Coturnix japonica: one gene and its partner. The protein of the gene in region 1 interacts with the protein of each later gene in a biochemical or structural test. Links are inferred from orthologs where the notes say so. Each region holds a gene or a part of one and is shown on either strand. Other genes may lie near its edges. The genes, in order: PKD1 and HDAC9.

What was found.
Region 2: the proteins of PKD1 (region 1) and HDAC9 form a complex in vitro, tested with the Homo sapiens proteins (2 studies listed by BioGRID, with this or other methods). The link is inferred for Coturnix japonica from reciprocal best matches to the Homo sapiens genes PKD1 and HDAC9.

What each region holds. Positions count from the first base shown.
Region 1 is NC_029529.1:6,276,791-6,293,210, forward strand, and holds part of PKD1 (polycystin-1), read right to left. Parts: intron 16,096-16,420; coding exon 15,881-16,095; intron 14,580-15,880; coding exon 14,467-14,579; intron 14,385-14,466; coding exon 14,258-14,384; intron 12,941-14,257; coding exon 12,663-12,940; intron 12,171-12,662; coding exon 11,421-12,170; intron 10,338-11,420; coding exon 10,206-10,337; intron 9,187-10,205; coding exon 9,011-9,186; intron 8,604-9,010; coding exon 8,470-8,603; intron 8,157-8,469; coding exon 4,534-8,156; intron 3,488-4,533; coding exon 3,338-3,487; intron 1,734-3,337; coding exon 1,590-1,733; intron 662-1,589; coding exon 382-661; intron 1-381. UniProt on the Homo sapiens protein: Component of a heteromeric calcium-permeable ion channel formed by PKD1 and PKD2 that is activated by interaction between PKD1 and a Wnt family member, such as WNT3A and WNT9B. Both PKD1 and PKD2 are required for channel activity.
Region 2 is NC_029517.1:26,953,898-26,970,317, reverse strand, and holds part of HDAC9 (histone deacetylase 9), read right to left. Parts: intron 11,278-16,420; coding exon 11,155-11,277; intron 9,219-11,154; coding exon 9,008-9,218; intron 8,644-9,007; coding exon 8,426-8,643; intron 769-8,425; coding exon 499-768; coding exon of another isoform or gene 448-498; exon of another isoform or gene 1-447. UniProt on the Homo sapiens protein: Responsible for the deacetylation of lysine residues on the N-terminal part of the core histones (H2A, H2B, H3 and H4).

The DNA of each region.
Region 1 (16,420 bases):
GAGATGGCCCCAGTGCTCTGTCTTTACACTTCCCAGATCTGTGTGACTGTTTTGGGCATGTATCTTCTTTTTCCTGCCCTTCTAACACCAGTTTCTCCCACAAGTACTACCCTGGCCCATATACTGCTATTCAACCACATGGGTTAGGTGTAAAAAAGTGCCTTCCTGCCATTGTGATTTCCACAGGGTGCCTTAATTTGAGCACACAGAACCGCTCATGGTCCAAGATTTGGGGAACAGTGAAAGAAAGGTCCACACCTCGAATGTACTGGGATATGAGCTAAGGGAAAATAAAACAACTGTGGGAATAAAGGCACTTGGTAACTTACTAGGCATGAGAAAGAAGAACAGAGAGGGCTGGCAAGTGCCCAGCACACTCACCTGTACACTCAAAGTGCACCTTTGCCATCAGTGCCCTGAGCGGTCCTTTGGGAGACAGCCGGCAGGATCCATCGATGGGCGGCTGGTTGGGGAGCAGGTCAATGGAGGCAAACCCTTCCTCCCCTGTTGTGAGGTCTGTGATGTGAAGGGTAAAAGTATAGCCCTCCCCATCCTTCAGTGCCCCTTGCCTCAAGACCAGGTTCATTCCCGTATCACCGGTGGAGGTAGTTTTTTTGTCCAGGATGAGAGACTTGTTTTTAAAGCTATGGGCTGCCCATCTCTACAGAGAAGAAGAAGGGAAAGACAGGAGAGGTTTTGTTTGAATTTGAAGTTATGTCCCTAAAATGTTTTCAGATTGAGCCTCTTATAAAAAGTAACAGATTTCTAGTGGGAGCGTCTGCCAAATTTGCAGTTGATAATTCAGCCTTAGTCTCGTGTGCTACAGCAACAAGAACTGGAACCATTCCAAAACGTCTGATGGGAATATTTCCACTGTGAGATCTACTGTAGTCTCTGGGATTACATCACCCTCCGACAGAATATTTCATAATACAGAATACAAAACACAGGAAATAAATTAAGTACTCGTGGAGTCTCCATGGGATACCGTGTTTTATGTGCTGTAAGCTGAACATGTCCTGGACAGTTACTGTTAATAGCACAAATGTACTATTGTGATAACAAGAGGACTGCTGAGATAGCCAGCCAGAAAATGCCATGCAGGTACATGCTTGGCCTGCTGGGAGCAATACAGCTTAGCACTCACAAATAGGACTTCCACTTCTAAGACCCATTTCATTCAACAGATTGCAGAGATGTTGCTTACTGGAATCTATAATTAGAGAGCACGAGGTGCTTAGGGAATCAGAACAGTCTGAACAACCTCTGCTTGAACCACCAGCATAACACACCAACCAGCAGGGAGAAAAAAAACTCTTTACTAATCTCTTAGGGGGGAAAAAAAAAGGTCTTTGTGTAAAAACTGCTGGTACTTAGGTAGATGCAGACAGACACTGATGTAGGAGTGATGTGCTGTGTGTAACACAACTTCCAGGCCCCACAGAGCAGACATCTCCACCATGATGCAGATGCCCTGGGGAAGGGCATTCTCTGACAGCTCACCAGGGGATCTGGTCTTTCTGCTCTGTCCCCTTCTCCCTGAAGTCTACTAAATGCAAAGCAACAACCAGCATTGCTGGGCACTTTACCCCAATCTTGGAGTCATTGTGGCAGTTTTGGCAGGTCCCTTCCAGGTAGACATAGGAGCTTTTGCTGACTTCGTAGACAGACTGAGCTTTGCAGGAAACACACTCTAGGGATACAATCGGGACTCCTCCCCTCTTGATAAATACCTGAGAAAACAAGAGGCTCCATCAGGAGATCTGAGATGCTGAGGGACAAGAATACAGACATCTAGAAAGTAAGCAGACGTTGCAGCACCTGCTTTTCAAAGAGGAGATGGTCTGCACCAGCCCAGTATGTGCTATGGAAACAGCAGGAAGGGATTCCCAAGGGATTTCAGATGGCACCAAGGGACTGCATTCTTCTGCAGAGCACCCAGAAGCATGGGTCCTGCAGAAGGCTGCTGCATGGGAAGCATCTACAGCCCAGTGTAACAGAGGGCTGAGGGCAAGCCAGAGAGTGTGTGTTTGCTGAGGACATTCTTTGCTGTGCAAAGCCAGCACCTGCTCCCTCCAGGATGGCCACAGGGACCGCCTCCCCAGTTTCTGCTCTGATCTATGGAGCTTGGCATTGAAGTGCATGCTGCATCCCATGATTTGACCCCTGGGCTCTTGGCTGCTTTGTGTGAGCGTTTCTGACACTATCCATATCCCCAAGAAACAAAAACAAAGGCAAAATTAGCTAGATGCAACTCCCACTACACATCAAATGCTCTTTGCTGTGCAGATGGAAGAGCCAACTTCTTCAGAGAGCTGAGTATAACATCCCCATTCTTTGCCTAAAGCCCTTTGATCCCTAAGGAAACAGGGCTGTTCAGCATGGGACAGAGCCCTCTCCCCTGGCATAATGAATGTTCCAAAGTCAAAGAAAGACAATAATGAAGACATTACTCTCAGTATGGCAACTTTTAAAAGAGAATAAATATTCAGCGGCACTAAGCCGGAGTGCATTAAAGCTTCATTCATTCCTATGGTATTCGCAAATTTCCTATGAAACTGGAATCATTGTTTTGCACTCATGCATGGAAACCAGATAGTACGGAATGTCCTTGAAAGACTATCAATTTCATTTTTCTTTTTTCTTTTTTTTTTTTTCTTTTCTTTTTATCCTCCAGCTTTGGTTTAAAACCCAGGCAGTAAGAATTTCCACTTTCAGACTAACTATATCTCTAATTGCCAAACACACCATGATGAATGTTACTGACATAAACCATAGCCGCTGTCGGAACACAGATGCATTCAGTGTTAGGTTTAATTTGACATAAACAACATGCACTTAAGAAATCCTCCCTTAATAACATCCAGAAGGACGGTGAAATTAAGGATCAGCATTTAGGAAGCTCTCTGCAGGCAAAAATCAAGGAAGAACTTGGTAATGTGACGTATGAAGACCGCAGGACTGCGTACAGCAGTGGAACAACTACTGACCACGGGATCTTTTGTGTTCTATAGCAGAAGTGTTGCTGCAGACCTCTGGTCCCAGGAACCAGACCGGGGCTGGGTTGTGAACACCAGGGTTGCACAGTGAGACTAACCCCAGGTCTGCAGGAAGAAATAACAAGGACTTGGCAGGACAAGAAAACAGTGCTGTGTAAGGTGAATGTATCATGGAAACACCTGCACCTGTCTCTGCCAACCACCAGAACAGGACTGCTTATGTAGCTCCAGCAATGCCCTAAATTCTATTTCACCTGCATCTCTGCCCCTGGGATCAGGTTGGGAAAGCAGCAATGGGCACACAGAGACAGAAAGCAACAGAGTTCTGTGGTACGTACGGTTTGATTTGTTGCCTCGGGATTCATACCCTCCTTCCAGACAGTGAGGTTGAACGTATACTCCACATCTGCTTCTAATACAGCTTTGGGAATTGTGACATTTCCTCCCTTGGCACTGAAATTCAGAGAGCACCCTGCAGCCGAGCTCTGCTTGCAAGGAGAAAAGAACTTTCAAACCCTCCTTGGTACGGGTGCACATCGGGTTAAGTCCACAGCCAAAACATTCAGGCCCACACAAAGCCCACTTATCACAGAGCTCTCTGTGCAATGCCACCACCAGGGTGGGACACACGAGGTGGTGTGTGAATGACAAAGAACATTAACCTACTCTACAGGTTCATATGAACGCTCCTGTTCTGCTCCTGAGTTTCAGATTCTTAATTTATAGCAACTGACTCTTCCATCAAATACTTCATAAAAATTGCTAAACATCACAAATGAAACTTGAAATTCTCATTCACACATAGCTCACATATTTTCACTTTGTGAAGATAGAAAGCAATGACCTTGGCCAAGGAAAATAATCCTGCATTCAATTAAAATATTCTCCTGAGGTGGATCTCCCATGCAAACGTGAGGGTCACACCTCCCCTTCCCCTTATCCACTACAGCATCATATCGCCTCAGAGTGAGGGTGACAGGCTGAGTGATTTGGCTTGTGCCTACTCCTCTAAAGTCGAACTGTTGCTATCAGACATCTAATTGTTCACAGAAGAGGGACCAGAGCCCTCCGCCCTTTGGACAGCAGTCAGCAGCTCTGTGATTCCTTCAGGTTATGGAAGATGTTACACTGAACCTGAAGCAGAAGCCAAGAAGAAAGGAAGCAGAAGAATGAATGCCTTTGGCTTCAAGTGCAAATGCTTCTGAAGCATACAGGGAGGGTGCTCAGTGCTGAACTACAGCAGGCTGCATTGCACAGCTCCTCACAAAAACTGCTGTACCACTGTCCTGAGCTGGGAATTGGGCAACATTTGCAAACCTCCTTCCCAAGCAGCTTTGTTAAAGATGGTCACAACAGCTCCCCTTGATACCATTTCAACCCAGATGCTAACACATGTATAGTGAAGCTGACACTCAGTCAGAGCTCCCAAATCATACAATTACCCAGGTTGGAAAAGACCTTGAAGGTCATCAAGTCCAACCTCAGTCTAATTTTCAAATGATCACCCTCTATGGCTGTACAAAAATGCTCTTACCTTGGAGGAGAAGGTACAAGACCACTGGTAAAACAACGGAGTCTGTTCACCATCTTCCAAGTTTGGGTCATAGGATTTCTCCCCATCCAAGATTAAGTCTTGAGTGTTGGACCACACACGGTATGACCCCCCATCAATGATTGGGACCAGCTTACTCGGTATCATGGTTACATTGGCAAAGATGCTTTTGGACAATGGAGTATCTCCAAAGGAGACAATGAAGACAAAGCAGTAGCTCCCAACTTCCAGGGCGAGCTTTGGTATAACGAGCTGCGGCCTGTTCACATCAACATTTGGCAGATGGATCCTGCTGGAGTCATCCAGGTGCAGACAGCTGGGTGCTCGGTATATCTCCCATAGGTGCTCTGTCTGATACTTGATGCATCCCCGCAGATCAAGCTGTGCCTCCAGGTAATTCCTCTGGGACCTCTTCATGACCACTTGAGGGGGCAAGGCTAGCTCCACCTCCGGCTCCTCGCATTCCAGGACCTTGACGGTAACAGTGAGGTGGGCTATGAAGAAGCTGATGAGATTGGTGGCATTCACCTCCACCAGGTAATCCCCAGGGTTCAGGTAAGAATAGTTGGCCACTGCAGTCCTGGTCATTTGAGTGGAAGAGCCGTCCCCAAAGGTCCACAGGAACTCAACACCCCTGCCATTGGGTACCACTGCTGCTTCAAACAGTGCTGTTCTATTGACAAAGGCATTGGAGGCAGTGAGGGAGACTTGGAGTATAGGGTCCTGGACCTGGATGGTTCTGGTGATATTGATACCTCCCAGGTCATTGAAGGCCCTGAGGTGAATCTCAAGAAGCCCTGCAGCCTCTGGAGTGTAGGAAACACTCTCTCCTGCTGCAGTGACCACGGAGCGGCCCTGCTCCTTCCACAGGGAGAACTGCCAGGAGAACAACACCCGGGAGCCGCTCCCCACCTGGGCACTGAAGCTCTTCTCTGTACCTGTGGGAATGCCTCGCTCGCAGCAGTTTAGGAGCCTGATGCCACGGACAGCCTCCAGAACCGAGATAAGCACCTGGGCATGAGCAATGCTGATTTGGTTCTGCACTGTCACAGTCACCAAATAATCGCCGCTCTTGGTGAACTCATGTGTGTACTTGGACCCATTAAGCACTACGGAGTAGTCCCCACTTATGCTCACCAAGTAACTCACGGAGGTACCCGATGACATCCTGATCACAAAGGTGACCTGCTCACCTGGCTCTACCACCTTCTTGCTGGCAATAACTTCCAGTCCTTGAATCCTGTCAAGCACAGAGATATTCCTGCTGGCCACAGCCCAGCTGATGTCATTTGATGCATTTAGATAGACTGTGTAAAACCCTGCTGTGGGGAACATGACTGCCACGGACTGGCCTGTCAGTGTGCCATTCGGTACCTCCCAAAGCCAGGTCACTTCAGTCCCCTTCTGCAGCTCTCCTTCAAAGATAACAGTGGAGCCTGATGAGACATACCTACAGTCCAGTTCTGCAGTCCCTATACTCAGTTCCTCTATGACCTCCTCCACATAGACACTAATTGTTGCATTGGTTGAATCCAGCTTGTTTTCTGCTCCGATTACAACCTCCACAGCCCCAGGGCTTTGGAAGGAATGTATGATAAAGGATTCAGATGTAACAGGAGAGAAGCCATCCTCCAGGTACCAAATATACGTGATACCAGAGCCACTGGTTATGGTGGCACTTATGTTAACAGATGCATTAACAGCAACTGGGTTGGGGAAGGCATAAGGCTTTAGAAGACCAAGGCTTTCGATGAATTCCAGTGTCTTGTTAGCAGTTGCACATCCCAGCATGTTAGTAGCTTTCAGATAGACAGTGTAGTTTCCAGCTTCTAAGACATTCAAGGTGAAGGTTTTCCCAGTGGATGTCTGCACAGCATTGCCATCTTTTTGGGCTATCCAGCTGTAAGAGATGTTTGTCCCCTCTCTCACCACAGCGTGCAGATGGAGTGTTTTGTTAGTTGGGAAATAGAGATCCTCCACCAAGTCACTGCTAGCCACCTGCAGGCCTTCAATCTGTTCCAAGACGTAGACATAGATACTGTCCTGCAACGAGCTGATCTCATTCTCCGCGGTCACAATGACATTGAATGTGCCCACGGAGCGGAAGGTGTAGAAAATTGTGGAGGAGCCTTGGATGGGAGTACAGCGGTCACAGAGAATCCAAGAGTAGCGGATGGCATTGCCAGCTACAAGTGTGGCCACAAAACTCACTGAACCATTTAAAGGCACAATTGTCCTGCTGGCATTGATGGTAATCCCATGTAGCCGACGTTTCACTGTGATGTCCATCCTGGTTTCATTAATGCTCACGTCATTCTGGCCTGTCACACTAATAGTGTAATGGCCAGTATTGTTGTAGGAGTGGGTAGTGGTTTGGCCAGGCTGGGTAATGCCATCTCCAAAGTCCCAAAAGTAATTCACTTTGGTTCCATTCATGCTGGCAGAGAACAAGTAGACCTGGTTCAGCTCTAAAACCTTTGTCCCATTATATTCAATCTTTGCTACCCCAACTGGCTCCTGGACTTCCACAAATGCCGTGTCATTGTTGAAAGAGACATTGTTGGAGACAGTCACTGTAACCAGGAAGACCCCTGTGCTCTTGTAGTTGTAGCTCACTTCAGTTCCACTAGACCTTGTGGACTCATTGTTGCCAAAATCCCAGCGATAGCGGTACTGGTAGGGGGGCATAGCACTGACCTGGAAGCTGCATTCCTCACCAAGCCTCACAAACTGCTTGGAAGGGAGAAGTGTGACATTGACTACCTCTGGCTCCACACAGACACTGGTGAAATAATGAGCCTTGTTAAACTTGCTTGAGAGAGTCAGGGATAAGGGGAACGTCCCACTTCGTGTGAAGTTGTGCATCACTACAGGGTCCCCACTGACTGTGACGTTGGATGAGCCATCTCCAAAGGTCCAATCAAAGATGTATTCACTGGGATTCCCTGTGACGTATGCAGTGAGCTGCACATCTGGATGCTCAAGAATGCAAGAAGTAGGGTCTATTTTGAGTACTTCCAGGACAAATATCCAAACAGGAACAGTTTGGGAGACAGAGTTCACAGGATTCACAGCTGTCACATTCACAGTGCAGTTGATGTCCTTTGTGTACACATGTTCCACCACTGGCACCTGACTCCTCAGCACCGTCCCATCCCCCATATCAAATATCCAGGTGATACTGTCTCCCGTCTGCACTGAAGCATTAATGGTAACAGCTGCACCCACCTCTGCCACCTCATCTGCGGAAACGTAGAGCCCAGTTATCTCTTCAAACACTTGGTAACACTCAACTGTCTCCACGGTGCTTATGGTGTTGTTTGCTGACACCGAGATGTTGTACACCCCCCTGCTGGAGTAGCTGTATGTCACCGTAGACTGGCTCTCTGTTACCAGTGAGGACCCGTCCCCAAAGTCCCAGGTGTAAAAGACACCATAGGGAGATGGAAGTGGAATGGCTCTGAAAGTGACTGAGCGGTTTACAACTAAAACATCCTTCGCTGTTTCTATTTGCACATCAACCAAATAACTGTGGACGCAAACTGGGGTCATATAGGTGAGGTTCTCAAACTGGTTTGACACTTGAACCACCAGGATGTAATCACCTGCACAGAAAAAGAGCAGAAAAGGAACAGTGGTGAGAGCAGTAATTGTGCAACAGCTTTCTCAGTACTGTAACAGTATGGGAATGTGACAAGCAGTCCCAGGGAGACGCTCTGTTCCTGCTGCATACACCCTGTCCTTCCCTCCTCTGTTCCAGGGCAAGCAGGAATTATGACCAGGCCATGTGATGTGCCAGTTTGCTCAGGAACAACATAATGACTTCAAAGGTACTGTTTTATTTGAAGGTGCCTTGTGACATCCATGAAACAAAAACATCTGAGTTCTTTTTTCCCTAAAGAACCAGCCTGAGCATACCTGGGTATTCATAGATGTGTGACACATTGTGCTCAATTATAACCTCGTGGACACTGGGATCAGGAACAAGGAAAGACTTGTTGTAGGGAGGTGTGAACTGGTATGTCTCTTGGATACCATCTCCAAAATCCCACCTGGAGAAACATACAGACTACATTGCACCACACCACAAAAGCCCCAGGCCTGAATCTTTCAGGCATAAGGTGAGGGTTTTCAGAAAAAAAACATAGCAAGTATAATGACAAACATCAAAGAAGTAGCTATGCCAATGCTGCAGAGCCATGGCTGTCAGAGGAGCACTGCACTACTAGGAAGAGTGAATACTGAAGCAACATAGAAGTCCTTTAAGAGAAAACTATTTCAGGCTTCAAGTACAGGTCCCAAGCAGTGTGACTGAATCAGATTTCCAGGGACTACTAGACAGCAGATGAAGAAATGGACATTTAAAATCAACTGTCCCAGAGAGAAGAAATAACACGGGGAAGGCCGGTAAGCCGTGCACAGCAAGATCCTTCATTCAGGTAACTTGCAAAGGACTCACAGGAACATAGCATCCACAGCTGAATCAACCTGAACTCTTGCTGTAAACTCCATGGTGCTGTTCTGGGGGAGGACCGGAGGGATGCCCAACACAGTCAGGTTCTTCATCTTATTCATCATCTCCACAGTGACATTGTAGTTAACTGTAAAGTTACTGACGTGGTTGGAGGCGGTGAGCTGGGGAGGACAGTGGGACAAAGAACTCACTTGGAATCTCCTTGCCATGATGCCCTCTCCTCAGAGTGGGGCTTCACTGCGTGGAAGAGATCCCCCCAGGCAGGCAGCAGGTTAGGTCAGAGAAGAGTAGCCTGTGGGACAGGGAGGCAGAAGCAATAGCCTGAAAGGCTCTGGAAAGCAGCATAGACTGGAAGGTCACCTAACCAGCAAAGCCACCTTTTGCTAGACCCACACCTTTGACACTATACTAGTCCAAGGAAGGACTTGTCAGCACAGTGCAGCACGCAGAAAATTAGTGCAAGCGTGCCTTCAGAGCTAGGGCTGGTGTCTCTTCTGCCACTAGTCATCCTGCAAATGTATTAAGCAGCCTTTAGCCAGACCAAGACTCTACATAGCAAGAACCAGAAAGGTGTTCTGGCCAGAGGTGAACTTCTCTTCCACAGGAGATACTTTCTTCTGTCCAGATATTTTGCTCTATCCTTCTTCTGGTGTTTCTGACTGCACTAGAAAAAAGTGGACAGGACAGAGACCAGGAGAGCTTGTGGCAGAAGCTCTGTTCTGGCTATGAAAATCTTACATTTGAATTCTACCCCTGCCTGGTTCTGAAAACACATCTCCTGCATGCCAAAGCAGTGGCCAGCACTCTACTCTGGGGCTCACTGCCTCATTCCTGCTGGGAAGGAATAAGGACAGATATTCCATGACCAGAAAGGAGCTGGGGAAAAAAGGAGAAGGCAAAGATAAGAAAGACAGAGAAGTCAGCAGGAAAGAAAGCCATAAAAAGAAACTTACTATGTGCATTTGCAAGGAATAGCAGAGGAGCTTGTTAGGAGCACAGCAAAAATCTCCTCAACTCAACTGGAGCACATGGCATGGACCTGCACTACTGACAGCTCCTGAATGGAGCAGGCTGTCTGCAGAAAGCTCTGCTGCCTTCTTTCCCTGCTCCTTTTCCTGCTTAGCTCATGGGATGAAATGGAAACCCAGGATTAAAATGGTATTATGGTATTTCGGCTTACCGAAAGCTTGTACACAGCTGGGCTTTGGTAGATAACGTTGAAGACAACATTGTAAAAAGTGAAAGATGGTTTATCATCTACCGTCCATCGGAAAGTCACATCTGACCCGGCTTCCATCACAGGGACATAGCTCTGAAAGGCATGAGGACATTTTATGCTAGTGCAAGAGAAAAGCATGCACAGCGCTTCCCAGATGGGCTGGAGAAGGAGCAGAGCCAGACTGGGAGGCATCACACACGCATAAGACACTGCTCTCAGAGAATGACACAGGTGTAGGATCACCTGTGGCTTTGCCACTGACAGAGCAATGCAGATCCCGACTCCATAAACCAACAGCAAAGCTGGGAGCAAAAGCTCTATTTCCTGCTCCCACATCCTCATGATCTGCTCTTGGGATCAGGTCTCTTTCTTGCTGGCTAAAAGGCTTTCTGAAATCTTTGCAGAAATAACTCAGCTTTACCTACACCTGCAAACTCAATCTCTGCCCCTAGTCCATGGATGCTGCCTGTTCCAAACACAAAAATGGTTGCCTTGCATCAAACAGGGTAAGTTCCCTACTCCTACAGTACCTCCTGAGCAGGGAGTGTGAGACTTAACAGGCGTTGCAGGCACAGAGTTCTGCCATAAGCAGCCAGAAACTGAGCACAGTCCTTTACAGATAATGATGGGCAGTTTTTAATCAGGTTCTGAGGGCTTGGCTGTAGTTCTGGGGATGAGGGATTTTGGGGGAAAAAAAAGACTAAAAACATCAGAGCAAGTCCAAGCCTTTGATGGATGGAAGAAACACGTCTCTAGCTTCTGTCAGCTGGTGTAAAGATTTAGTAGAGCAAATCAAATTGCCTGAAGGAATAAACTACCTTGACAAGTCAAAACAAGGTAAGCACTGGCCTCTGATAAATGCATCAATTTTCCAGTCAAATCCCTGGGAAAATGAAAAGCCAGTATTGCTTTTGCAGGAAGCGCTGCCTTACCTCTGAGGGAATTAAAGTGAGCATACAGCTGAGCTGCTTCCCTGCCAGAGAGCATGAGTGGTTTCTGCCACATGCATGTACCAGAGCAGTGCTGACTGCATGGCTCACGAGCCAGCACTTAGCAGCAAGCAGTGCTATACCCTGACCGCATGTGGAATAGAGCCCTTGTCTTCCTCTCGAATCAAACTTTACTTTGGCAGTAAAGGCTTAACATCATTAAGTAGAAGCACCAGTAACAACTCACCACTCGTGTATTTAGCAGGACTCTGCTCTCAGGGTCTGGGGTGGCCCTCAGCCCACGGATAGGCTGTTCCACTTTTATTGTGATGGTGATGTTCTGGGAGCTGATGGCATTCTCTGCAACAAGGATGTGGGTACTTGCCCCCTCCTTGAGGCCGCTCAGGCTGAGCACAGCAAACCAGGTGTCATTGTTCTCTCTGGCACAGTCTGATGTCAGTGGTGCAATAGTCTGTGGGCAGGCCCCTTCGAAGGGGAAGGTGTGGTTGTCTCCCAGCCAATGTGCCGTCGCATTCATTCCCGAGGAGATTTTGACCACCAGGGTGATGTGGTTGGATGGTACATACACTTTGCCACCTTGAGGAACTGGGTGAACAACACGCAGGCCTGACACTTGGGAAGTAACCCAGAAATTGCACGACAGATTGGAACTGAAGATCCCATTGTCCACGCTGGCTCTGACTGTGTAAAGTCCTGGATGTGCTAGCCCTGCATTCTGGGGGCTGATTATTGGGACCAGCTGCTCCTTGGCATAGAGAACTCGGAGAGAGCAAACAGTGTTATGGATCCAGGTGGCATCAATGGAGCCGGCAGGGAGGCCAAGTGCCCAATCTGAAGAATTTGTACTAAAAAAATTGGTTCTGAAAGGGGACGTGGTACTTAGTTGGCACTGGAGGAATGAGCCCACGCCTGCATTGTGCTGGATACTGAAGACATCCTTGGCTCTCACAAAAACATCTTCTTTGCTGAACGTGACCTGTAGGGAGAGGAGACATTTTTGGTTTGCTGCACTCAGCACCCAATTCTTGCCTTGGCAAAGCTGGATCTGCTGCCAAGAGGAAACTCACAGAAAAGCCAGAGATGTGTACACTGCATGCAGAAACATTTCACCACTCTGCTCTCCTCAGCCACTCTGAACCAAATGCTCTTACATGGAAGACAGCTTTATGCTTTATCTCCACTTCTCAAATGCAATGGGAATAACCCAGAGCATCCGCACAGCCTTTTGCCTAACTGTACTATTGTACTGTTGTTACCACAGGGAGTTTGCAGCCTACAGAGATGACGACAGAAAGTGGTGGCATGAGCCCTGCACCAGGCCTGTGAAGTATTCCCTGGGTAAGCCATTTCATTTGAATGGACTTCAGCTTTTCCATCTGAAGACTGCAAGCAATTCTTAATTTGCCCAAAGCACTCAGAGAGAACTGCCCCACTTACTCACTAGTTACAGCAGCTAATAAAAACTGACCAGATAAGGGGAAGAAGGGCCAGCTGGTATTGTAAAGAGGAACTCCTCTACAAGTTCATAGCTGAGCTGGCTTCCATTGTGCTGAGGGGATGCAGGGACAGGGCTGCTGGCAAAAGAACTGTTGGTGCACTCTGTAGCATTGCAGCAGTTGTTTACTGATGAGCACAAATCAGTCAAATGACACCACTGGAAGCCAGGAGGACATTCAACTAGAGTATAATTCCCATCGTCCTGTGAAGTAGGAAGTGGTTCTGTAGCATTTTGTCCCTCCTGGTACACTGGAAGAGGTAAAGAGAAAGCAAAGATTACCATTTTAACAGGCAATTCCGCTCTAGTGCAATTCTACTCAGCTCCAAATTCACCATATTCTTTTCTCTGTGACTGATGATGACTTCATCATCAATGCTGCAACTGCAATGCATCCCAGTGCTAAACAAGTCAGAAGAGTCCTGTTTTACTGGCAAACTTCACAAAGGCACAAAGTTTGTTAAACATAAAGTTAGTCTCTTTTCCAGGAAGAATGCGCCAGTTTGCAATCTAAAAGAGATCTGTGTTCAAGTGAAAGCTAGTCCAAGCAAAAGCAAAGCTGGCTTTGACATTGAAAACACATTAAGTAACTTTTCTTAAATTAATGTTTCCATGTTAAAGTATCAGCTACCCTTTTGTAGCCAGCCAACTGTATGGCTATAGCAAAAAATCTGCAGCAAAATTAATTGTTGCCAAAACTCTGAGTATTGAGCTGTTGTACAAGGAATACGAGGCTTATTAGATCATCTCATCCATCAGGAAAAAATGGGCTCAAGAAAATATTCTTCCTCATTAACCTGTGGGGCCAGATGGACCAGAACACATTCCTTTTAGACGTATCATGTCTTCCCAAACCATAGAAGTATAGCTCAGAAGGTTAATTTCCTTCAACGCGTGTTTCAAACTCTCTCATCATTCTTGACACATGGAGACAGGTAACAATGCCATAAGAAACTACTTGGGATCTTCATGGGGAAGAAGTATCATTCCTAAGTTGTAGCTTAGGGGAGTTTGTCCTGCTGTACCATTACTGTCACAGATGCAGGTCAAGACTTTGCAGTCCCTGCCGTTGTTAACCCACCACTAACCAGACTACCATAACTGATGAAGAGCCGTTATTTAGCTCCTCACTGGTCATGAACCATCAGCCATTCACAGGTCATTGCTCTCCTACGACCACTTCTCCATCCAGAAATCTCTTCTTCAGCTGCTCCAGTTGGCTCCAACAGAAAACAGCGTTGATCCCTGGTTTTGATCCATGCAGTTGTGGCTCTGTCCCTTTCTAAACTGCCAGGTTGATGTAAAGTTCACCCACTCAATTTCTCCCCCTGTTCAGTTCTCCAGGACACCTACTTATAAAAAGCAACCTCAGGCTGTCCAACTACACCCACAGATTTTGAACATGAGACTCTTCAAAACACAGTACCAAATCTCTAATCCTTTAAGGCTTCAAAGCTTCTGCTTCAAAGACAGAGAGCCACAAGAAAGCCCTGCACATTCAGATTGACATGGCCCTCAGGGCACCTGCTCTAACAATAACAAAAGCACTAAGAAGAGATGTCTCTCACCTTTTCCATCTATTGGTCTATGCACCTGAAACCTCATTTGAATGGGCTGATGCAGCTCTTGTGTCACAAACTCCAGGGCAGACAAATATCCCTCGTGCCTGAATGCCAGCTCAGGAAACACCATCACCTGCAAAGTAAAACAAAGCTCTCACCTATCTGCATCTTCATGGACTCTCTCTTCAGCAATGGGATGAGCAAACCCTGCTTACCTCCACAGCTTGCAGTGGGGATGACAGCGTATCTTCCATCAGGTTTTTCGCAGCCACATGTGTGTCAAACACAGGATCTCCCACAAAGAAGTTTTCGGCATTTAAGAGAACTCCTGTTGGCAAAGGAAGTATTTGAAGAAAGCCCATGAGACTCACTAGGACCTGAAGCTATCCCCCCCCCATGATGCTCATGTTTGTTCATTCCACACAACAGAGATATAGACCACTTAGACCACTCAAAACTCTAAAACTTTACTAGAGAAGCAATTGCTGTGATGCTGCAAATACCATCTTCTTACAGGTATAAGCAGCAACTTTAAGTACTAGGAGCTCTGCCAACACCCCACAGTTTGCTTCCAGTGCACTCCCCAAATTCCCTGTCCCCCTGGACCTCATGGGAAATGTGGCCAGGACCAGCTGCTTTCCATCACTGGCAAACAGCTCTGGTTCCATCACAGCCAGGTCAGGCTCTGGGGACTGAGCACAACCAGCTGATGCTGTTCCTCTCACCAGGGCCAGTGGGCTCTCTTCCCAGATCTGACTTTTTCTTCTTACCTAAATCACATCCTGTTTTCACTGCACTTCCCACTTCTCCTTACTCCCAACATCCTTCTGCTGCAGTACAGTTTTCTGGAAGGTGGGAATTTTCCATACACCTTGCTGTACTGGGGATGTGGCTGCCCAAGATGCAGGAACTGACTTTTCTCCTAACAGCCTCCCTGAAACAAGGTCCTTCTCAAAGCAGTGCAACAGACCTCCACCTGCCCAGTCTATCTCTGGAAACAGCCTTCATACCAAATTGGACAGGGCCAGGTGAGGAAAGTAAGTTGATGTTGACCAGCAGGTTTATCTCTTTCAGCCCTAATTTAGTGGGCCAAAACTGACCCTTTGTTTTAAACCCAACTTAACTTCTATTCTTAATTTTGAATCCTTCTATTCTTAACTTCTACCTTTCTATTATTCTATATCTGCCAAGCCAGATTTGGGATGCTGTATACACCTGCACACCATATTATACATATATATATATTATACATATAATAATCTTTGAGGCCCTTCAGTCTCTTAAATCACAATACCCCCAACAACTCACGGATTACAAGATACCACAGAAAGACAGAAGTCAGCATGGCAGTACCACAGCTCTGACCTGTGCAGCAGCATACACTCCTCAAATAACAGACAGAAGCTCTTTCCAAAGCTCCTCATCAACGCTTCACTCCTTTCTCCAATAACACTGATAGCAAAGATTGGGGTGGGCCAAATTCTTCACAATGGGAATATTGTGGTTGCTGCTGGTCTGAGGCAATGGTTTGGACAGCCCTCTCCTCACAGCCCTATTATTCTTTGGCACACACAAACAGACCTGCTTGCCCACAATGCCAGCTGGGAGCAGGAGAGAAGCAGAGCCCACCTTTCGGCTTGTACTCGCAAACATAGCTGTGTTTGGCCATGCACAGGTCTGTGTTACACTGGCCTGTTGGGCCCATCCGGACGCAGTGATCGGCATTTGAGGGATGGGGTTCTCCTGGAAGCCAGTTCTGACAGCTCTCTATATTAAATCCTTCGCCTCTTTGCTGTGCTTCAGTGCTTGCAAAATCATTGAATCCAATCCAGACATCAAGGCTCCTTAAAAAAAAAAAAGGGGGGTGGAGGGAGGTGGATTTCAGGAAATCACGAGTATTAGAAAGATCCGGGACAGATGCCATCTATGGTTCTCTATGAAAATAATAATCTTAACAACAGCTCCATCCGGGTGTCACAGGCTGCATTTAAAGGAGCCTCTTAGTTACTAAAAGATTTCAGAATACATTTTGCCACCAGATGGTACACCATCCTGCTTTCTACAAACTGATCTCTGATCTACAGATACAGAAAGCCAACTGCCCTATGATGTACTGAGAGGAGACCTGCACCAAAAGGATTCGGATAGAGCCATCAATGCCAACACCAC
Region 2 (16,420 bases), on another chromosome or scaffold:
GTCTATGGGGGAAAATTACCCTATTGTTTGTTAACAGTGTTCAAGACTATGCTATGATACATTATATACATATAGCTGAAAGCAAAAGTAAGAGGATTCAAAATCAGAGAAGAATGTTTCATCAATCAGGTCTGGAAACTAATTCCAGCAGTAGCTGATCTCAACAAGCTAAGTGATACTAGCTGTCTTGCACTAGAACTAAGCAATGTAACGTAATCCTGGCCTGATACAAATTCTATCATCTAATACGCAAAGTTTTATGTATAGCAATTGCCTGCAACAGGTATTTGCTTCATTAGTGGCCATAAGGATGAGCTCCGCTATGTTTTGATGTGTGCATACAACACCTTTGCTTTTGTTAAATTCTTTAAATGGTAAATCAGGATTTGCTAGTTCAGTGAATCAAAACACAATTGCTTGTCAAAGCCTAGAAAATGCATTTGATGTTCAGATAATAACCTTAATTACAAAGCCTGGAGCTATATCTTTGCCTATTACCTGTTGCACAAAAGCAGCTTGCTCCCCAGATTCCATTTGCTGGGTTTGAGTATCCTCATCACTGTCCGGTGGCTCCTCTTTGACTTTCACAGCTCCCGCCTGCTGTCCTATTCTGTCATCCTCACCAGCACTGCTGCTCTCAGCCCTAATGCTGGCACCGCTGGCGGGAGCTCGCTCTTCCTGCATCGAGTGGTCTCCATTCAGCTCTTCTTCAGCTTCCTCCAGGTGGCTGCCAGGCTGCTTTAGCTGCTCAATGGATTTAGAGAGCATCTGAAAAGAGATGGAGAGGAACCAGTTAATCATTCTTTTCATCAGTGCAGAACACTGGGAAGTACTAGATATCAACAAGATTACAGCTTCTATTGCAAGCTAAATACTAATCTATGAAGAAAAAAGAACCAAAGTTCTTAAGTAAAAGGTCACTTGTTATGCTGCAGTAGAAAATACTATATATGTAATGAGTGCTTTATGGTAATATTCAAGTAAAAATTGGTCAGAATAATGAAAGCATTATAGCACATCCATTACATTGTAGCTTCTGGCAATCAAGAGCAATTAGCTTCCCTTCATACTCTTCAAACAAAAAAGCAGAAATTTACTTAACTACATTACTGTTCACTTTTTCCCAACCAAAAATTATAAAGGAACTCTAAAAAATAATCTGGTTAATATATAAGCAAATCAGGAAATATTCCTACATGTTTCTGCATCAATCACTGCATGCATGTCCCAAGAGACACAGACGAACAGTGACAAAGAGCTCAAGTCAGTCACTGCTCCTTGGCACAGAGACTGTGAGGATGTCTGGCCCTTATTGGAAAGACTGCAGACATTGTCATGCATGGTACAGGTTCCCTTGTCTCAGCATTAATGACATAGTACAACTACCCAGACAATGCTGCTTTTACACCATTAACTGCCATTGCAGAGCTTTGCTGAGGTGCCAAATGCCTGGGTGCTGCAATCAAATCTAGTTTACAATTTCCTACTGAAGATTTTGCAAATGGATTTTTTTGGGGGTAATGGGAGCAGAATGACCTTCTAAAAAAGAATTAAGCAAAAATTCCTTTTCATTGCTGTGGACAATGCAGAATCACAATATACGTACCACCCACTCTGTAGGTGGCTTGCTCTAAGCTGAGGAATCTTCAGTTCCGCAACCAGTGCAGAGCATCTCTTTCTAATAAGGAGAATCTGGAAAAATTCTCATATCAGACCCAGTTGTTTCTCAGGGGGTGACACTGACCAGGAAAGCTCTGAAGCAAGCTACATGTATTCAGACCAGGTACACTATTCTGTAACATCTGTGGGTGATCCCTCTCCACTCCTCAGGCACAAAGAAGGAAAGCCTGGCTGCTTGGCCGCCTGGCCAGTGATCAAATACAACTAAAACATCTGCGTGACAGATAATCATATACAGCCACAAGAGTCACTAATGCTGATCCATCTGTAAAACATTCCATGTGCCAGTTACTTGACATCAGGTGCACTATTCTGGAAGGAAAGCCAAGAGTAAAGGAGAGCAGGTCCACAGAAACGACACATTTAACTCATTGCTTCTCCTCTTTTATGCTTTTTTACTTTAATGTCAGATGCTTTCTTCTTCTACTGCTGTATGGCACAGATCTTCAGTGCTGCTGAGCTTTCTGATGCAACACATGATGTCCTGCAGTATATAATCTATACATGGAATGCTTTAAATTCTTCTTGTGTGAAGTCAGTGGGGAGATACATATGTAAAGGGTTGTGAGACCAGCATGGTTTTTGCATGCATTTCAGCTTGCAGTGTGCCTGTTTTGGGGCCTGCTCCTTCACCACGGAAATCAGTAGATTTGCTCCAGACTGGTGACAGGAGGAGCTAAACACATTAAGCCTTCTAAAATTCTGTGAGATTAAAGTGTTTGTTTTCACAAGAGATTTTACAAAGTGCGTAAATACAGCCAGCTCCCATGCAAAATCTTATGAAGGGTATCCTTCATAATGGTGGAAATGAGAATGAAAGCAAGCCTCAGGCAAGGGGCTAGGAGGCACTCTTGCTGTCTTCTCATAGGGCAGAGAATAACGACAATGGGTGCACTGCATGCGGGCAAAATCTGCAAAGGCACTCCTGCTCCTTAGTCTGCTAAGCTACAGCAAGTCCGCATCTCCATATCACCACACTTTGGTATTTCTTAGTGTGGGTCTTAAAGGCAGCTTGCCCCATTTTATTCCACTAATTACATTAGTAATGTTATCAGAAGGCTGTTCAGTTCTCCTAAGACAACAGCATCTTTTTTTATACTTTTATCCCCTGGCCCTACTGTAGGTAATTACATATCTGGAGACCCACAAAGATAGCAGTCGAAAGTCAATATTTCTATATTATCTCTCTATTTTAAGCTGGATTACTCAGCAGAAAATGAACCCTGAATGAAACACTGCCAAAGTCCTTTCACAGTGCAGCTGGATACTCCTGCTTGCACTTAACATTTAAATCTTTCACTTTAAATCTCCACTTACCATTGTTTTTTTCTGTATTTATCTACAGATACAGTGAAGGAATTTCTCCTGTTCTTAATGCACATTTTTCATTTTGAGAATGTGATTGCTTAATCTGAACTTTAGTAAGACTACATTTAAAAATAATAACATAGGAGTGGTTTACTTAGTGAATAAATTAGTTGTACAGATCGGTCTTCTTAAACCAATATACATTCCTGTTATTGCTATTCCAACTAAAGTTACTAAAAAAAAAAAGGCTTCATGCTAATGTAACCTATATATTTTTTCCCCTTTTATTTTCAGGAAATTAAATTGTAAGGGATATGCATGAGCCAAAGTAAATAGTGGCAGCAGGAGATGAAGCATTTACACACATCAACTCCATTGTATAACTGCAAGAGTCCGACCAAAAAAAGACATCAAAAACAATCAAACCTGCGTGGCTGTACAGGAAAATGGAAGACACACAAATAACCTGGACCTTGAAACAGACTGTTTTACAAGGCCTCCAGTTGCAGACACTATTTTTGTGTCTCTTTTTTAATAACAAGCTCTTGTAAAATGAAATATTTTAAATAAAATGTGCTTACAAAGAGACAAAGCACAAAACCCCGCAGCAGCCACCACATACATTTCTTTCCTTAATTGATTGTTCCTTCTTGAAACACACTGCTGTTGTTTCTAGGAACTCATCTGCATGCTTATGGAAACATTTTTTCTCTTTTTGTGCCATGGCTCTCGGGTTACTCTGACCAGCTACGCAAGTTGTTAGCTGTGCTGAAATAACTTGGAAACTGCTTACTGTTTTCTCCTGTTACTTGTGTAGTACACTTCTAAGGGATGTATTTATCCTTCCAAGATCATTCTTCTGCTTTATGACTTAAACATTAGTTCTTAATAAAGGATGAAATGTTCTGGGCAGTTTTCAGTTACAAACACCTTTAATCACTGCTATAGTCTTGTTCATATAATCCCCTACTATAAGTAATACTTGAAAGAAGCAGTGTTACTGCTCTCATCTTCTGAGGATGCAAGTCAGAAAGGTAAGTTGGAAAGACAAACCTTGATTATAGTACCTCGGTTAATTTAGTCAAGTAGAACCTGATCAAAACAGTCTTTCTTATTTCATTAAGTATAAGAAGAGTGAATGATGAACCTGTGGTTACCTGGCTCTTTTCAATATTCCTAACAAATAATTTTCCTAGTATTTTCCATCAATCAATAGAAATAGCCCATATTATTTTTCATTTTTCTATTAATACACATTGGCCAATTATGATAAACTTCTGTAAATGAACATTTACTCTTATTCACTCTATTTTTGTCATATAACTTTTACCTTTTAGTCTTGCCCAGTGAAAGATGCTTTAAACTGACTAATAGCCTGGAACATTAAGGCACTCCTTATTTAATCTTTAGCATTGTCCATACTGTTTCTGTACTTTAATGCACACTGCAAATGGCTCCATTATTTTGTTACTACTCAATACAAAGGAATACTTTATCATTGAAAAATAATTGTGAATTGTCAAAATGCAACAAACATTATTTTATGAACACTTGTAGGGTTCCCATATGGACCAATTGAAATCTTGGTCCCAGTGAGGATGGTGCCACTTTAGGTTCAGCAGAGGATTGATTTTATTCACCCTACATAGGAAAAAAAAAAATGATAAAAAATAAAAGGGAAAAAAAAAAAAAAAGAAACCACAAACACACACACACACAAAACAACAGCCTTTAAAGTCTGAGGGAGGGTTCTGTTTACATGCTGCTAACATTATGACTTCTGAGATTTTCTTTATCTCAGAGTTCGACTATGGGCTTTGCATTTATATTCGTTACCTCAAAATCATATATATATATTTTTAGCAAGTGGAAGCATAAAAGCTTTTTAGATAAAGAGATACACAAATGGAAACAAGACTTCAGGATTTTTATTGCAGTAGCAATATTTTGGAACCTGATTGCAATAATTTTAGATAGAGGTTTCAGTCTTTGGTCTCCCTTTACTGAGCAGGATGAAGTTCTATAATGGTGATCAAAGGGCCTCACGAGGAAATATGCTGCAAGTTGGATAGAAGCATATTAAAGCTGACAACAGCAAAATCAAGCTCTCCTGGGACAAGCAGAGTTCAGGTTACTGCACATTCATTATAATTCTTTTTTCCCCAGAAAGCTGGGATGCAGGTTTCTACCTACTTCTGCACATGATGTCAACTTATGCAACATATTTTTAGGAGGTCAGTATACTAGATCCTGCAGGTATCCCATTTCCCACATCAAAAGCATGGCATCTGACAGCAGACCAGAAATAATCCAGAGGGGATCTTCACTTTTTTATTAAGGACAAAGACACACCTCTTGGCAATTATTTGTTTCTATTCAGAATGGAAATGATCCAGGGGGATCCTTTACCTCCAACCTGTGTCAGATTTTGCCTGTTATCACCCTCACGGCAGCACTGACTTGCAGTTACAGTATATTATTTTATGAAAGAAATCACCTTTACATAGAAGATAAATAGAAAATCCATAGGGTGGGTAGAGTCTGTTGCTCTCATCCTCTTTTTGTTGTTACCTAAGATTTGACCAAACTCATTTTTCAAGGATTCCTGACACATGACACACGATCTCAGCTCAGAGAAATACCTTAAATAACAGATTCAGATGAAATATATTAAATCCCTAAGCACTTGAAGTCCTAAACATAAAGGGAAAAGGAAAAAGAAATACAAAATAAATAGAATGTCTTAACTTGTTCTCAAAATCTTCATCAACTAGCATTTTGTAGTCTTGTCAGCTTAAAATGGCTCTTGTATTTCTAATGAAACATTTTCAAACCATGTCTGAGTACTCCTCATTAAATATTTTTTTCAAGACTGCAAGGAGGGAATTATGTAAGATTTCAGTACAGGGTCTATGTACTAAATAGTGAGGGATAGAGAAGTGGAAAATAAATATATATATTCTCTCGATACATGCTCAAACTTGTTATAAGAAATAAGATGTTGGGTTGCTTTGCTTCATTTTCCAGAATATCTCATTCTTGGATTCAGATAACTCTGCTTTGCAGAGTTCAGGTTTGATTATAAGAGCTCTAGAAATGTGTTAAGTTGGGTAATAAATAAATAACATCAACTACAAATACAAGTAAGGTTTAAGAATGAACAAAGTACATTCTATCCTGCTGCTCGCATTCAGAGACAATATGCATGCACAGGTGTTCAATCTAAACCTTTAATTAAGGACTTAAATAATATAACCTTAAATTCAGTACTTAATAGCCACTTCCTGATTTGATCATTTCTCACCACTTCTCTACTGACTACCTTAAATGCCAGTTTTTAAAAAGTAAGTAAGAAAGCACTTGGCTTTTTGTATACTTGCTGAGAACAGATGTGTGATTGGAGCATGGTCAGTTTTATTACCAGGCAGCAGATTGGTTCAGGGAACAGTATGGTACAAGAACCTTGTTACTGTAGACCATAAAAAAAGTCTGATAAACTACCCACATCCACACATAATTTGCTGCTTCTGTGGGTGCACGATGATCCTTCTCCTCTTTAGGTGTCTGCTGCTCTGATGAGAGACTGTGATCCTGATGAAAGCTATCTGCTCTGGGAGTACAGATAGAGGAAATTGAGATAGCTGGAAAAAGGAAGTATGTTGTGGTATTTCAAGACAGTGAAAGGCCCTGGGATAAATTTCTACTATCTACATGTGCATATGGTCTACAGTGTAGATGATAAAAATTAGGTTTGCTAGGCTTTAAGGGAAGGAATTGTATCGTCCCTTTATTGTAAATAATCACATTAGAATGGAAGAGTATTTCTGGAGTGTTTTGTTCTCAACACTTGTTTTCACTGCAGTTTAACACAGAGAAAAAAAAGAAAAAGTTACTAAAGCAGGCATTCTCTCATGCCAATTGAAGTCTTTTTTTAGTTGTTTTCCAGCCAAGATCTTGTGATGTGCAATGTATCTACAGTCATATGTGACTAATATATTTATGCGACTCAAGTTTAATTTTCACTTTCAAGACAAATATATATAGATGCTACACCATGTACCCCCAAATGCTATGGTAGAAAGTATGTCAATAAGCATATGACCTAACAAAAACATGTTATTGTGGTTATTGCTTTGTGAAGAATGCATGAGCAGTAGCTGATCAGTTTGCAGTGGATACCCAGAAACGGCACAAAGACTCAGTACTTTACTGGTAAAAATCTTTTTCAGACAACTGAGGGCAGGTGAAATATTTTCAAAACCTGAGGCTACAAGATATACATATGCCATCTTGATTAAACATATGGAATGCATACTCAAAGAAAAGCCAACTGGAGTCCTAGTTGAGTAATCAAAACACCCAAGCTGAGAGGGGTTAACATGCAAGGATCAGCACTGAACTTTGAAGTTTTCTGGTCTTCATTTTTCCTAATTAAGGCAAGATTTAATAACCAAACCACTGTACAAACTATGTACTTAAACTCTAGGTTTGTTTCTAATTTTGTTGAGAATTCTTAGTAGATTCCAAGGAATCAGTACCCCCTGGGAAGTTCACCCTGTAAGGTGGATTGATTTTTTTTTTCCCTTTCTCATAGGTACAAAGATTGAATGTCCTGCTTTTCATCTTTTCTCCTTCGCAATTAGCTCTTATGTATAGTTTCCAAATAACTCTCAAGCAAAACAAGAAAAGTACAGATGTATGATTACTACAACAGTGATTTAGTTAAGCAGCTTTTTTCTTGTCCTTTTTTTCTTTCTTTCCTCTCAGAAAAATATGCTACTCTACAAGGAAACAGGCACAGTTCAACTCTGTATATGACATGAGCCACAGCAAATCCTTCTCTTTCTCTATCACTGGTATTTTTATATTGCCACACAGATAACAAACTTTTACATTACTGTTGAATTTACAGAGAAGTTGATTTGATAAAAGCTGGTTAAAATTTCTACAGATGATCAATAAATTTTTAACAAAAACAAGATAAATTTAATCAGCTGATTTACTTCAAATGAATCATATATTTACTCCACGCAATATTCCATAGTGAGTAAGCTTAAACTCTGACTCAGCAGCTGAAATGAATGATCTCTGAAATTGGAAATGGCAAATAAAGAGAAGTTGGATCAAAGAAATACAGTATCCATAAGACATCATTCAGCATTCAGCAGGAAAGCATTTGTAATCTAAGCCTAAAAGATTCTTTGATCCCTATTTCATTGAATTGCATGTTTATTGATGCCATCAAGCATAAACCAATCTTGTACCATATTTCAGAAAAATGAAAATGAAGGTCTATGCAAATATATACAAACTATGCATAAGCAAGGTACTCATGCAAGAACTTGTTTTTCTCATCTACCACATGGCCCCAGCATCTACACTTCACTTATTTTTCAACATGGATGTTCATTAAAAATTACTTGCTTTGGGAACTCACCTTATTCATGTGGATCTGTTGCTGGTACTGTTTCTGCTTCTCCAAAAACTGTTGATGTTGCTGCTGGATAACCAGCTGGGCCAAAGTGCTCTGAGGAAGAGGAGCTGACTGGGTTCTATTCAGAGGCCTGTGACGAGGCAGTTTGTGGGCAGCTCTTATGCCAGGTGAGACTCTTTCTTTTGCTGCCAAAGGAGACTGGGGATGAAGAGGAACTGCTCCTACAAAACAATGACATTTTACTCCAGTGTGAAGAAAAATACTAGCTCTAATAGAAGAGAAATCTCTCACTAAGAAGAGGGGTGTATGCTGCAGAACTTTGTATCAGTGCTGATGCAGTGAGATGTGTACCACACGCCTAGCCATGCTAGGAAGTTCAGCAGTTGCTAAAGAATGTGATGAAGTAATCATTTTCTCTTTACTGTAATCAAGGAATCCTTTGAGGCTAATCGAGCAGAATCACTGAAGTGGGAAAACAAACATTCTATCCTTTTTCTCCCACCCTTCCTCTTTTTAAAACATCCAGAATAAAAATGTCATTAAAAACCTCTAAAATGATTATTGTGTTGAAACTTTGATCATTACCAGTTACAAGAAGTTTCTGTTGTCTCATCTGTTCTTTCAGTAACAGATGTTGCAAGAGAGCCTGGTGGCTGCTATTTGGTTTTCCCTCCAAAGCAACATGAGGATGAGTTGAAGATGGGGGAATGTTCCCACCATACTGTCCAGCCAATGCCACTCCTGGTCTGAGTGTCTGGGTCTCTCCCTTCTGCTTTTCTTTGAATGATGATGAAGCCTGTCAAGAAACAATGACACTGGTGACTGCTTTTCATTGTCTTGGCCATTGTTATCTCACTTGATTAGATGGTCTTTCTGAATACAGAAGAAAAAGTTTAAATCTATCTCTTGCACTTTGACTGTGACATGAAGAGGGAGGAAGAACAAGCACTGCAAGAAACTAAGCAGCTAAGAAACTAAGCAACTGACTTTTTGGGGCACATGCTTACTTTATACTCTACTATCACCCTTTCCTGAAGAATAAACACCAAAGTAAACTTTAAATCCACTTTGCAATTACTTATTGTGGGAAGAAAAATAGGCAGTATTTGCATAAATCAACCCTTTTGTTTTTTCAAATGCCAAAAGTAATATTTGGGGCCAGCTGACTCCATCAAAAGCTCGCACTATTGAGAAAATTAAATATATTTTCATTTCTATTTTTTAATGTTCTAAAATTACTTTGAAGTAAGATTTATTTATTTTATTTTTTTTAGTATGTGTGTGTGTGTGTGTGTGTGAAATAGCTATGATTTTTTTGACAATATGATCTGGAAAAGTAACTACCACTTTTCATGATCAGTTCAAGTTTTCCATCCCTTAAAACCAATCATTTGCTTATAAATATCTCATGAAAGACTTCTAGAGAAATGATTTAAAGCCTACACAATTTTCCTTTCAACGTTCTATGTCTAATTTTAAATGCTTCACTGCAGCAATATGCTATTGGTTAAGTGCACTAAAAAAAAGCCATTAAGCGGCAAGAAACTTTAACCTGCACTGGAACTGTGCAGTACTTATTGCAAACTGTAGTAGACTGTTTAGATACATATATTGTGTGCCCCGGTGCCGCAGTGGTAGAAGTGCCGCTCTGCTACACAGAGGCTCAAATCCCGGGAGTTGGACTTGATGATCTCTAAGGTCCCTTCCAACCCGCATGAGACTGTGATACTGTGATATATTTTTATTTTTTCTTACATAAGGAAATATAGTATTTCTATAGAAGTTTCCAATTCATTTTCTAAAAGTTCTTCAGAATTTATACAATGGTGTATAGAACTACAATATGATTATATGACTATTTTTGCCGGAAATCAAGAAGAGAAAGTTTTGACCAGTATCAAAATTAGAAGTTCTTTTACTGAGTCTCAGATTTTACTTCTAGATTGCTGTAAAGCTGGCTAATACAAAGATCTTTCAACATCCATCAATATGATTTCAATACATGTTGTAGCTCTTTTCTTATACATTTCACACCCTAATTTAACACTAAGTTCTAAATGAACTTGATTGTTGCAGACTGAACAAAGGATATATGAATGTAACTAGTCATTAAATATTGTTTACATAACTAAAAATTTAATCTATGTGATTAAATCCCTCAAAAAAAAAAAAAAAAAAAAAAACCAACAAAAAAACCAACAACAACAAAACCAACCAACCAAACAAACAAAAACAAAAAAACCCTCAACTTCAGGAATGCTGGATTCTTCCCCTGCTATGCTTTAGCCCAGCTTGGGTTGCCACTGCATCTCATTATAGAATGTCAGAGGTGCTGTGCTTTACCAAGTAGGAGGGATTATACAATTAGAACTTTTATACTCTCTGAAGTTTGTTATCATACTTACAAATATAACTACAATACCATACAATACAATACAATACAATGGCCCATACTTAGCTAAACTTCACATCAGCTCTTATTTCAGATTGAGAATAATAATTGCTTTCAAGTTGTTTTCTTAAAATTTCAGATGCTGCCCAGTTGAAAGAAAGGTCTGGAACCTGCTCTGATTTGCTTATGCTCCAAAATGTTAAAAATTGAGAAAGGGCAGAAAGTAGGTTATTTCAGAGAAAAAAGTAGGAAGAAAAAGTAGGAGGGGGAAAAAAAAGTAGGAGGGAAAAAAAAAAAAAGGTAGGAGAAAATGTAGAAAGGCTTACGATTGATCACTTACACTGATTTGAGATTGTACAGCTGGAAGTCCCAAGGTAATGTTGGGCAAAGAAGGGGACGTGTACAGACTCAACAAGTTCACTGATTCATCCTGTATCAAAAGGCGTTGCTGTGAAACCAGATGCTGGAATAAAGAGGAAAAACAATTTCCATACAACCTCCAAGCTCTTTTTTAAATCTTGATAACATTATGCCTATTTTGTTGCTATATTTAAAGCCAGTTATGTGTCATGGATTGGCTTGCACCACAGTGGGGTTCCAGATAGTAGGTACTGTCCTTGTAAAGAAAATATTGATATTTTCTTTCTTAAGAAAACATCTGAAGTACACCTAAGATTATGCACTGGCTAATAAGTCAAATTTCTACTCAGACCCAAATGCTTGAAGATTCCCAATCCACCTCTTCTCTCATCAACTGCGCTTTTACTGCTTAAAATACCATCAGGATTTTAGCCAATGAATTATTGATTGCAACTAGATAAATCAAAAGTGTTATGAATATGGAGGAATTAGACCTCTACTATAGTTAATAACATTTTTGATGTAAAGTATGAAAAATGGCTCCTACCTATCTATGTATGCGCTTACCCATATAATGATATGAAGGTGTTTCAAACACATCATTAATTTCCATTGACATTGACATGGAAATTTGGGGTAGAAAGTGAGGCACACATTCGCATCAGTCATTAATATATATATATACACCGTGTCTATTTCTGCATATACACAAAGAATAGCAACTCATCATTCTCTGATGGTGGAATATCCCCTCACTTCTTTCCTAATTCCTTAAAATTTAAAATATTTAACACTTGTTTTGAATCCTTGTGATATAATTTTCATGTGCATACAATTGCTGATATAATTAATGTCAAGTAAATCAGGCATACTACAAAGATCACCCTCCATCTTTCCATTTTAGGGAAGAAATATAAAAAATTACATTACTGTAATAGGAATATTTTAATGCCCTTGTGTTTCTGCTTTAACAGTCATGTTTTTCAACATGTGGTCTAGTATAGTTGCTTGAATTACGTTTTCTCTTTAACTCTTGCTTCCCTCCCAGAATTTTAACACAATGAGACCTACAAAGGTCTTATTAGACTTAGGAACTCTGGCATGATATGGTCCCCAAGGGAACAACATCCTTGAAAAAGAATACCCCGTGTAACAGTATGACACAGTGACTGCTTTCTTCCCAAACAAAAAGCATATGGGACTCCAATAATAGACCACCTCCAAGAGGGATACTGCACACTCGGGCTTTGACTAAAGTAAATATAATAACTTGTCAAGCATGTTGTGGGGAGCTGTAGATTTTCCCCTGGACAAACCTGGAATATCAATTAACTCTGTAAAATACTTTGTGCTAATACAATGCAACTTCAGACCATCAATGAAAAGCAGTTAAGCACAAAAACACAGGATGTTATTGCAAAACATAACCTTCCTCATACAGTTTGTTTGGAGATACGACCTATCACTGAGACAAAAACAGAAGAAGTCTATCTCTGTAATTTTCTTTTGGTATCTAGGGAATGTCAACAGATAGCGTATGAAACAAAGAAGCTTCACTTTTTCGTTACATTAATTCCTAGCTAACAGTGCCCTGCCTTGGTAAGATCCACCTTTGACCATGATTAAAGCCAAATAAATCAAGACCACAGAGATAGAACAGAGGAAGACTATGAAGATTTGACTGCAAATGGATGCTGTAGCAGCTCGTGTGCTTTCTAGAATACCAAATTTGTATCCATCCACTGCAGTATTTATAGAGAGCCACTGCAAAAATGCATGTTTCCTTTTTGGTTTCCAGAATGCCATTATTGTTTCCTATGATTTGAATCCACAAATGGAACTGTGACAGGGTTTATAACAGCAAAACATATTCCCACATTAAGATCACGTATGACTGTTAAATGACACAGCACAACAGATAAGTCATCGTCCTTCATGGGTTGGATTGAAACCCAAATTATGCCAAAGAGCAACTACTTTATTGCTCCTCCATATACTTACTCACTGAGTCTATGGACAGCACAACAGATAAGTCATCGTCCTTCATGGGTTGGATTGAAACCCAAATTATGCCAAAGAGCAACTACTTTATTGCTCCTCCATATACTTACTCACTGAGTCTATGGATTCTGTTCACTGATGCCTAAAGTAGCCTGACAACATAGTGACCCTCCTTCTTGAAATAGAAGTATGATAACTAAATGTAACAGTGAATGGCTACCACCAAGATTAGTTAGATTAGTTAATAGGTTATCACCCACATTTAGTTATTGTGCTCTATTTTATTGCCAGGGCCTGCTGGGAAGTCGGAACACCTACTTTATATGCACATTTATCATTTATACATTAGAAGGGGAAGAGGAAATGGTTTGGCATTAAATACTTGCAACTTGTGGAGATATAATCATAGAATCACAGAATGGCCTGGCTTGGCCATTCTTAAAGATCTTAAATCTTAAAGATCTTAAAGATCACCCAGTTCCAATCCTCTGCTGGGAGCAGGGTTACCCCCCCAAGATCAGTTTGCCCAGGGCCACATCCAATCTGGTCTTGAGTGCCTCCAGGGAGGGGACACCCACAACTTCTCTGGGCAGCCTGCATCAGTGTCTCACACTTTTTGTTCCGATTAACAAAATTCTTCCTAACATCTTGACTAACTCTTCTCTCTTTTGTTTTAAAACCATGTAAAAACTCAGTCTCAGTCTTGTTTATATGCTCAAGAATGTGTATATCTGCCATACATGTCATTTTTGTCTCCTGTATACGGTGACATCCTACGCAGTTTTGCTCTCCAAATAGCAAATGTAAGAGCAAGAAAACAACCAAAAGTCCAACAACATCAAGTAGAAACTCTCCATTACCTTCACTGGCTTTTGACCAGTCTGTGCATTCTTAAAACAAATTATTTCACATGACTATTGCAGATTGTCCCTCTGAACTCAAGGGACATGCTGTGCAGGGATCAGTCCTGACTGCACTTCTCATACAAGTAAGATTTAGCCCAAGCACAGCAGGTGACCTGAAAGCATATGACACACTACAAGAGACAAATAGCTACTGCGGTGAACCTTGATGCTGCTGGAGACAACTGGGCCTAATAAAAACAGCACTTTATTTATAAAAGTTCAATTAAGATCTTGAGTTTAACTTCTAAGTTTCATATAAGGAAACTAATGTTTTAACAAATGTTACTGAAAGTACCATTAGGGGAACTGTGATAGGAAAATATTATCTGCATAAGTGCACCATACACAGTGTGCATTTGTTCATTCAAAAAAATAGATATGCCTGCCCACCAGACTGTACTCCGGAGGGTAAGCCACGTAAAAGTCTAGCTATTCAAATGGGTATGGCAAAAATACTTTAAAAATTTGTTACATTACTGATAATGCTCTAATTTTGTCTATGTACTGGAGTGTAATCATTTATGGTATTGACTCATGCTTTACTGGTAAATGGCTTTGTCATAGCAACCTGGTTTTCCTCAGCAAAAAGTGTTTTATTTGCTGCCATGAAAACCACAGCTATCCACCCACTCAGATACGAGCACAACACTTACTGCAAATGTCAGACCGATTATTATGAAACAACAGCAATGTGAGTCATTCAGGATTACAGCAAAACAAGTGATACTTTGGGTGATTTTGGAACACTTAGCCTGTTATTAGAAACTTCAGTACTTTGTGTATCTGATGAAAAATTGATTAGATGCATAGTCTTTGAGAGCTGGCAGCTAGTGCTAAACTAGCAAAGAGATATGTAGCAATTTGGCTGCTGTTAAACTACCAAAGAAAATCCCACTGAAATCAAAATGCACTGAACTTGAGATTTATGGAAAAATGTTTGAGCCCACAGGACCACAGTATTAACAGTCAAGTAACCAGAGAGGTAATGAAATCTCTGACTGGATCCAGAAATGGAAGTCAGTAGTTTCAGCTTCTTTGCCCACGTCCACCAAGCTAAGAGAATGACTCCAGCATACAGAAATCAAATTTAAAAGGAACTTTTTAGTCTCATTTGAAAATTTTCGATTGTGTGGAACTGAAACAGTGGATAACTGGCACAGTAATGGTAAGTGAAGTGTTTTATTAACAGAAAATAAAGTTTGGTATAGCCTTGCCAAATCTCCCCAGACAGACTGCAAGCCTGACCTGACTCAATCCTTTTCTGATGCTGGTTCAGTGCTGTGGGCAAATGCCCAGAAACTAAAATACCCAAAGTAACACACAGTGAACCATTATTCCCCTTGAATTCTGTAGTATCCTCAAGTCAAGACAAAATGCAACTGGATATGACTTCCTGTTTAATGAGGCATCAACATCCATATATGACAAATTTCCTAAAATATTTCATTTAATACGACTGAGCTAGGATCTGATCTAATCCAAATGATGGATCTTGCTCTGCATCATTTACTTTTTTTTTTTTGCAATCACATACAGAGGGGCTACGAGGCAAGACCACATGTTAGCCATCAATGCAATTTTTATTTTTTTTATCCTTTTTGGTTACGGGCCAGAGAGAGGCTACTAATCAGTGTGCAGAGGTCACCCACCTGCCCTCTGGATCATAGTTCACACACACAATTAATTCATTATGGGGAAAAGTCACTGCTGGAGGTTGAACTGCCCATTCCAGGTTTTTTTGAGGTGAATGTCCTGTCACTGACCTAGAGAAGTAGCTCCCTTAGCTAAAACTCTGTTAAATCACATTTTCTTATGCAATATATATATATATTTTTTCCTAACATAAAACATATAAACAAACAATTCTTAAAAACATTTGTCACAAAAATGAAAATTCCTATAGATATACACACTGGAAACAGAATATTTCTGCACTTCAATCTTTTTAGTTACATTAATTTTTTCCACCTTTACAAAATTACCATGGGAAGCATGATTTATGCATGATATCTGTGGTAAATGAAGTTTATCACGACTGATTTACCATCTGTGTTCCTGTCATTATAGGCACGTTTGAATGAAACAGAATAATGAGTAGTTAAAATTCCTTTCATGTACAATTTAGCTTCACAATACAAGTATCAAAGGCTCCTCACACATTGGTTATGTTGGTAAGCATTACACAGATAAGGAAACTGAAGTGCACTAAAATATAAGGCAGATGTGAAAAAGGACTTAGTCACCTAACTCTGATACTGTACTCAAATACATCCACTTCAACAGCATCTGAACCTGGGAATGCCTCATTTCCTACATGTTAGTCACTGATGATGAAGTCGC